2 linked regions of the Callithrix jacchus genome follow. The protein of the gene in region 2 interacts with the protein of the main gene of each other region in a biochemical or structural test. Links are inferred from orthologs where the notes say so. Each region holds a gene or a part of one and is shown on either strand. Other genes may lie near its edges.

Region 1 (3,648 bases), on a different chromosome or scaffold from region 2:
GAGCACACAGACCCCCAGCCTCGCTTTGTAATACCTGTGTGTTACTTTCCAGCCTATTTTTCTAAATGAGGTTCTAGTAAAATTACCCACGGATCCTTCTGGAGATGAGCCCATCTTCCACATTTCCCACATTGACCGAGTCTATACCCTCCGGGCAGAAAGCATAAATGAAAGGTAAGACCTGCCCCTCCCCAGCACTGGGCCCCGGGGCCCCCTGGCTCTGGGAGACACAAGGGGCATGTGATTAATAGCAGGTGCCAATGTTTCCCAAGCGGCAACGCCATACCTCTGGCTGGCAGTGGGGATGGGGCTGTTACTTCTTTCTACGGCCCCTCAAAAATCTGACACATGGCATGCACTTTGCAAAATAACATGGATTGAAACTAATTTTGCTTGAGTTTTGTTTTTATTTTATTTTTTTTAAGGCAGGGTCTGACTTTGTCACCCAGGCTGGAGTGCAGTGGCACAGTCACCGCTCACTGCAGCCTCAACCTCCTGGGCTCAGGTAATCCTCCCACCCTAGCCCCCCAGGTAGCATGTGCTACCAAGCCTGACTAATTTTTTGTATTTTTTTTTTTGTGTGTGTGTGTGTGGAGCTGGGGTCTCGCCATGTTGCTCAGGCTGGTCTTAAACTCCTGGGCTCAAGGGATCCACCTGCCTTGGCCTCCCAAAATGCCAAGATGCTGGAATTACAGGCATGAGCCACTGCACACAGCAGTTTCTTTTTTCTGTTTGAAACATGTAGCATTCTTTGAGGTAAACGGAGCATCTCACGTTTCCCCTGGCTTCCCAGGTGGCAGAAAGCAATAGAAAGCGATTTCGGAGTTAATAGGACCACCCAGCCCCAAACCCTTCCTCACCTGGGCTCACTTAAATAGGGCTTCTGGAACCTAGGGCTGTGGGTATTTTGCTTCAATCTGTCTTCAAGACTCTGCCCTGGAGCCAAATGAAACAGATCATTTTCTGAAGGGTGAACTTGACACAAGGCCAGCATCATTCCAAAGAGCATTTGCACCAAGCAAGAAAATTGGCTAAAGCTTTTGTGCATATGGTTCTCAGAAAAAATGAAGGAGAAAACAGCAGCCACAAATGTCTCCCTCCGGGGCATTCTGCTCTTTCATGTGAAGTGGTTCCCAATCTGGGAAGTGGCTTTTGTTCTTCCTTTGGGTGATTTCATAAACAAGATCCTTCTGGCCTGGGTTAGGCAAATATGTGCTGGCCTTTAGTAAGGAAGGAAGAGGAGTTGTGTCCTGATGTGGCCTCCAAGACGGCATCTATCACATATTTTCTTCCCCTGGAACATGAATTCAGGTCTTGAGGTCATCCATGGAAATGGCCCTCATGCCTTTACTATTGACGGCAGGAGTAAGTATTAGCATCACGTGACATAAAATCAGATTCTCTTTCCCAAGCCTTTGTTGTTAAAATCAAATGAACAAAGAAAACAGAGTCCTGGCAACAGTGTTTGAACAGACCTGAAGCCCTTTTCCTGAGTTTCTGTTTGGCAACTTTCTGTCTTTTTCTGTCCAAGGACTGCCTGGGTGCAGAAAATCAAAGCTGCTTCTGAACTCTACATAGAGACTGAGAAAAAGAAGCGCGAGAAAGCGTACCTGGGTAATGCATGGCCCTGTGGGGTGTCCCACACAGCTGGGCAGGAGGGAGGGCCATTTGGCTGGGCTGAGAATCCTCCAAATAGAAGATTCCCCTGGACCTAGAGGAGGGGCGTGAGATGGGATGAAAGAGAGCTTGGGGTGAGATGCGAACGGGGGATGGAGGGCAAATGCCAGGAGCAAGGAAGCCAGAGTTTAAGGAGAGGAGGGGAGAATTACTTTTGAGTAGGGAGAGGTCCATGACATGAATCGTGAGGCTCGCAGACATGGGAAAGGCATTGTATGTTCAAATGAAGCGTTTTGCGTTTTTCCTGCCATCATAGTCCGTTCCCAGAGGGCAACAGGCATTGGAAGGTTGATGGTGAACGTGGTCGAAGGCATTGAGCTGAAACCCTGTCGGTCACATGGTAAGGCTCTGAGGTGGTCCAGGCTCCTGCTTTAGGGTTGGAAGCTGGGTCTGCGTTCCCCACACCCCCACCCAGCTCCAAATTGAATGTGCTATTTCCATACTCCCCATCTCCTTCCCGAATTGGTTTAACTAGCACTTGTTAAAAACCTGGAGGTTTTTTGTTTTTTAAAATCCTTCCTACCGTTCTGTTTCTCCAAGGGATCTGAGTGGCGGCATTCACAGTGGCTGTGACACAGAATAAGGCCAAAGTGAGGAGACAGGAAGGGCCTAGTTTCAAAGCCCACTCAAGTAATTAATTATTTGAGCTTAGTTTAAGGATGAACCTGACTTCTGGGGGTTTTCACCTGGAGTCTCCATTGAAATCCAGGTGAAATATCTGCCACTTATTAAGCGTGGTAGTTATTAAGAGGGGTGCTGGCTGGGCGTGGTGGCTCACACCTGTAATCCCAGCACTTAGGAAGGCCAAGGCAGGCAGATCACCTGAGGCCAGGAGTTCAAGACCAGCCTGGCGAACATGGCAAAACTCTGTCTCTACTAAAAAGAAAAAGAAAACTTAGCCGGGCGTGGTGGCAGGCATCTACAATGCTAGCTATTCAGGAGGATGAGGCAGGAGAATCACTTGAGCCCAGGAGGTGGAGGCTGTGGTGAGCTGAGATCGTACCACTGCACTCCAGCCTGGGCGACAGATCAAGACTCCATCTAAAAAAAAAGAAAAAAAAGAGTGGGGATCAAAATGAGGTGTGATTTCCACCTGGTAAAGGCTTTTGTTCCCTCCAGGGAAGAGCAACCCATACTGCGAGGTGACCATGGGTTCCCAATGCCACATCACTAAGACAATCCAGGACACTCTAAACCCCAAGTGGAACTCCAACTGCCAGTTTTTCATCCGAGACCTGGAGCAGGAAGTCCTCTGCATCACTGTGTTTGAGAGGGACCAGTTTTCACCAGATGGTGAGTAGAATGCGGCCCTGAGGTGATTCCTTCTTCCCTGGTGCTAGTTTGTGTGGGTTCATGTTTTCTTACCTGGGGACTTGGTGCCAGGATTCCTGGGGTTTCCCTCCCAAGAGATGAGGCTGGCTGGCACAAGACGAGGCTCCGTCTCCCCTGGAGGTGTCTTCTGGAGGCGTTTCATCACATGTGGACAGAGCATGCTTGGTCTAGAACTGTGCCAGCTGCCCTGGGCAAACACTACCATCTTCTGCTTTCTAAAGCAAGTGACTCTGGAGACGGGTGTATTTAAGAGCCTCAGCATAGTTCTTCAGTCCTTGGCAAAAAAGCTGTGCTGGCAATGTTTGAAACTGGCTAATGGAACAAGAATGTTAGCCCACAGCAGTAGCCTCAGAATCGGCCAGGTCCCTTTGGGTGGCATTTCTGTGGCAGTTAAGTAGGCAAACGGATGCAGTCGTGTTGGATGAATCATTTCTTCAACCAGCCTTCTCTTTCTGCTTGGGCTGGGAAAAGAATAGTCTTGGCCCCATGATTCCAAGAAACTACCTGTCTCTCCCTCAACCCAATAAAAATCACCACTGGGCATGGTGGTACAGGCCTGGAATCCCAACACTTTGGGAGACTGAGGCAGGAGGATCGCTTGAGCCCAGGAGTCTAAGACCAGCCTGGGCAACATAATGG
Region 2 (4,407 bases):
GTTCTCAAACAGCATCCAATCTAGTTATAGACAAGTAAATAGGAACTTAAAACTCACACAGCTAGGATGGGGCGCGAAAAGAAAACAAAGGAGTAATATCCAACTCAGCCCTGATGTGATAGTCCAGGTTGAGTAAGTCTAGAAGGATGAGTAGTGTTGGATCAGGCAAAGAAAGGTGAGGGGACTAGCATGTCCAAAGAGCCTCAGGTAAGAGTAAGAGAGCACAAGTTGGATGCATCTATAAATAATTCAATAGTGAATCAAAAGAAATCAAGATATGGAGATATCCACATGAAATGTCCAGCAGGCAGGTAAAAATGTAGGTTTGGAGCTACGGACAACATATCCAGATATGAAATACACTGTATTTTCAATCTTGTCTTAGAATCATAGTTATTGGCTATTTAAGAATTGGAAGAACCTTACACATTAGCTAGATTATGTATACTTCCACCTTCTTCTATCACTTACTGCAAAAGTATCTCTACCTTAAATTCAAAAGTTGGTTTACGTAAATAAACAAAGAGGACAAGTGGGGGTTGTGGTAAGGTGGAGATACATGCCTTGTCTAAAGAGGACAACCATTTACTCACCTCCAGCAGTTTAGTGCCTTGCTGGAATACAGGCCCTAACTAGCAAGAACTTCCTATTCTTCAAGAAAAGCTGAAAATTCAGATTTTATGTAATATCTCCCATTTTCAAATGCCAGCAACTAATTACATTTAAAAATAAAACAACACTGTGCCAGCCAAACAAAATGCTTCTAGGGACAGATTTCAGCAAGGGCCACCAGCATGGCAGAATTAAACAAGGTCTGTCAACTCCTACAGTATTCTTCCACTACTTCAAAAGATCCTAAGCTGATAGCTTGGTGATTCCCCCGGGATAGGAGCTGTTTTTGCCTCTAAGCAAAATGGCCCCTATTTGGCAATGCTTTATGAGTTCCTTTACAGGTTTTTAAACAATTTCCCTGTCTTCCCTTACCCTACCTGGACATCAGCTTCTGGCAGCACAGAGACCTCCTAAACCCCTTCCATTACACGCTAAGAAGTCAAACTTGCAGGTAAAGCAAAAGTAAGTAGTGAGAACCTGACGGGATTTCTAAGGATTAAAGTACATAAGACATATGGCGGCTGGGTGCAGTGGCTCACGCCTGTAATCCTAGCACTTTGGGAGGCCGAGGTGGGTGGATCACCTGAGGTCAGAAGTTCAAGACCAGCCTGGCCATCATGGTGAAACCCCATCTTATTTAAAAAAGAAAAGAAAAGGATATATGGCATCTTTTTGGTTTTCTTTAAAAAAAAAAAAAAGAAAAATCACATAGGTGTTCGTGACTAGTCAGACACCTGAAGGGGAAAATGTCAGTAACTTAAGTCAGAAATACATAAGCAAATTCTCCTAACAAACCAAATAGTTTCCACTGTAAGATAGCAAGAGGGACAAGAGAACAGGGCAAAGGGGAAAGTAAAAGTTACTGGCCTTTAAGCACTATCAGACACCTTTTAATGCTTAGCATAAAAGGTACAACATAATCTCCATTCTTAGTAGAAGCAAAACTATATGTTAACTAATTAACATGAAAGAGTCTTCGAGCAGCAAGAAACAGATTTAGAAACACTCTTAGATGAGTAAAGCAATCTTTGTAGAAAAGGTAAATGAAGAAAAGGAAACAAAAATAGTCTAGTACACTGTTGCTCTAGAAGCTTTAAAAATGTAACATTTCCTAATTATACTAAAACATTTAAAAACACAGCAAACTTAAACATACAAAGACTAAAAATTCTTAACAAGCCAAATGACAGCACCAAGAATCTCGAATGCCGCAAAAACAAAACAAAACCCCTGAAATTGGTAGCATGTGCACCAGCCCCTGTTAATCCGAGGAGCAGGGGAGATCAGGAGAACAGAGAGTGATTACTGAGGACGAGCGGAGCAGGCCACGCTCCTGCTGGCAGGCGAGCTCGCAATTCCTTAGAGCAAGCGTTACGGCCAGGGCATTCTCAAGCCACTAAAACGAGCATACTGGACACCTAAAACATGAGGCTGACAACAGCTCCGGGCTAAGACCGAGAAGGCGGAAAAGTGGCCTGCTTTGACCTCCACTGAAAACTGAGGCTTCTCCAACCGTTGTCTCGGAATCAAAGGGCAAAGCATTCACCTCTCGGGGTTGGATTATTCGGAGCAACTGCCCGCGGCTCCCCGCGGCCTTCCCACACTACGGGTGGATGTCAACACTGAGAGCCAGCCGTGTGGGGGACCTCCCCGTGTGCGCCGTCCTTTCGGAGACGCGGCGAGACAGGGAAGAAAGACGGCCCTGCGCGCGCGCCCCGCCTCCCCAGCCCTTCCCCTGCGCCTGCTCGGCGCCCGCGCTGGGGGGCTGCGGCCGGGAAGCGGGGTCCGGCGTGCTCCTCACCTTTTTCAGGGCAGGCACCAGCAGTCCTCGCCACTTGGGCGCGTTCTCTTCGCTGAAAAACTCGTAGGGCAGCTGCTGCGCCTGCATGGTGCCCCCAGGGCGCCTCTGGGCGGGGAGAGGGGCGGCGGCGGCCCGGCCGGGGAGCCGCGAGAGGGCGAGCTCGCTGCGCGGAATAGGGCCGCGGCCCCACCGGACGGCCCGGCCCCCTCCGGGCGCCGCGCAGCCGGGCTAGCCCTGGCGAGGGGGCTGAAGGGCGAGGCCCACGCCCAGCCACCCACCCGACACGGGTACTAGCCGTGGAGAACGAATGCGACCCGGAGGCGGCGGCATCCCGCACCACCGCCCCGGGGCCAGGCCCCCCCGCCCCTCCCTGGCCCGCCGGCGCCGCCCCGGGCGGCCCGCTACACCGCCGCCGCCTGCCGGGGCTGCACTCCCGGGTCCGGCCTGGCCCCGCGGCAGAGCTGGCGGCTGGGGGAGGACGTGTGGAGGGACGCTCTGGCCGCGGCGCCCGCTCCGCGCAGTTGAGACTCCGAAACGCAAGAGCCCTCGGGTGGGGCGGAGCTGGGGGAGGGGGTTTCGCGGGGAAGGGGAAGGACCCGAGGTCGTTGTTGGGGAATCTGGCTGCCCTGAGGTGCCGCCGCTGCCGCCGCCGGTGTAGCGCTGGAGCTTCCTACTAGCAAACTGAACCTGCGCGCTACTGAGCATGCGCTGCCGGGCTGGGCTGGTTCGCTCCGGGTTTTCCGGCTCCCGGTGAAGGAGGAGGGAAGCTGGGGGCGGGGGGAGTGGGGAAGGGAGGCAGGGCGCCTGACCGGGCTGTGGTTGCGCTCCTGGGGACTCCTGAGGAGGGGCGAAAGGGCCCGAGAAATCGAACCCTGGCAAAGTGGGGCCTGCAGAGGGGGTAAGAACTACGGTAAAGAAGCCCCCACTGTGTGGTCTAGCCGTGAGGGCTCCTACCCCTCTCTGAGTCCCTGGGCCTTTCGTTTCGGAAAGGGGCGTGTGTACTTTGTTCCCGAACACAAAGATAAGGACTGCCCAGCACGCAATGTATAGTAAACAGACCGGACAAAATATACAGGTGCTCTGTCTCGAAACCTACTGCTAAGTATCTGCTGGGCAATAGAAGTGATCGCAGTGTTTTTAACTGGTCTTTCCACGTCATCAAGAATAAAATGTGTACATGTAGTATTGATTTTCTGTGTGTGTTAGATTGCATTTGTTCATCTTTTCAACCCTCTCCAAATATGAATTCCAATAAGCACTTTCCTCCAATGGATACTGAGACCTCTTCTAAAGCTCCCAGAACACTGCACTTATTCCTCTCTCAGGGCATTTGGTCTATAGTGTTTTGTATCTTTTGTGGTTCTTTCAACTACATAATAAACTGGAAGGCAGATTTTTTTCACCAGGTCCTCCACACAGAACAGGCACTCAGTGAAAGTGGAATGCTAAAGGACCGGTATATATAAACTGTCCCTCCAGGCCACTGTTTATAATAGTGGCACTTTGTGGCAGACACCTCATGGTTTATCATTAATGATCACTTCTGGAGTATCATCTGATTTAATCCCCATAGCAACCCTATTATTTTCATTTCACCGATAAGAATGCAGTTTAGAGGAACTAGCTTGGGTTGAAGCTGACATTGTGTCCTGCTATTCCTAAGAACAACAGCCAGGATCACGTAGATGAGAAATGTTCAGTGGTTCATAATCTTTACAGGACCTCTGTGAAAATCTGAAAAAGAAAAAAAAAAAAGAAAGTCTTCAGTTATTTCCTTTAAAAATATACAGGCCAGTGGGCAAGGTGGTTCATGCCTTATAATGCCAGCACTTTGGGAGGACAGGGTAGGTGTATCACCTGAGGTCAGGAGTTCGAAACCAGCCTGGCCAACATGGTGAAACCTTGTCTTTGCTAAAAATAGAAAAATTAACTGGGCATGGTGGTGAGCACCTGTAATCCCACCTACTTGGGAGGCTGAGGCAGGAGAATCCCTT

Evidence for each region. The genes of interacting proteins can lie anywhere in the genome.
Region 1: the proteins of SOS1 (region 2) and ITSN1 form a complex in vitro, tested with the Homo sapiens proteins (2 studies listed by BioGRID, with this or other methods). The link is inferred for Callithrix jacchus from reciprocal best matches to the Homo sapiens genes SOS1 and ITSN1.

What each region holds. Positions count from the first base shown.
Region 1 is NC_133522.1:39,958,179-39,961,826, forward strand, and holds part of ITSN1 (intersectin-1), read left to right. Parts: intron 1-52; coding exon 53-174; intron 175-1,531; coding exon 1,532-1,614; intron 1,615-1,933; coding exon 1,934-2,017; intron 2,018-2,796; coding exon 2,797-2,970; intron 2,971-3,648. UniProt on the Homo sapiens protein: Adapter protein that provides a link between the endocytic membrane traffic and the actin assembly machinery. Acts as a guanine nucleotide exchange factor (GEF) for CDC42, and thereby stimulates actin nucleation mediated by WASL and the ARP2/3 complex.
Region 2 is NC_133515.1:75,897,932-75,902,338, reverse strand, and holds the start of SOS1 (son of sevenless homolog 1), read right to left. Parts: upstream 2,937-4,407; 5' UTR 2,501-2,936; coding exon 2,414-2,500; intron 1-2,413.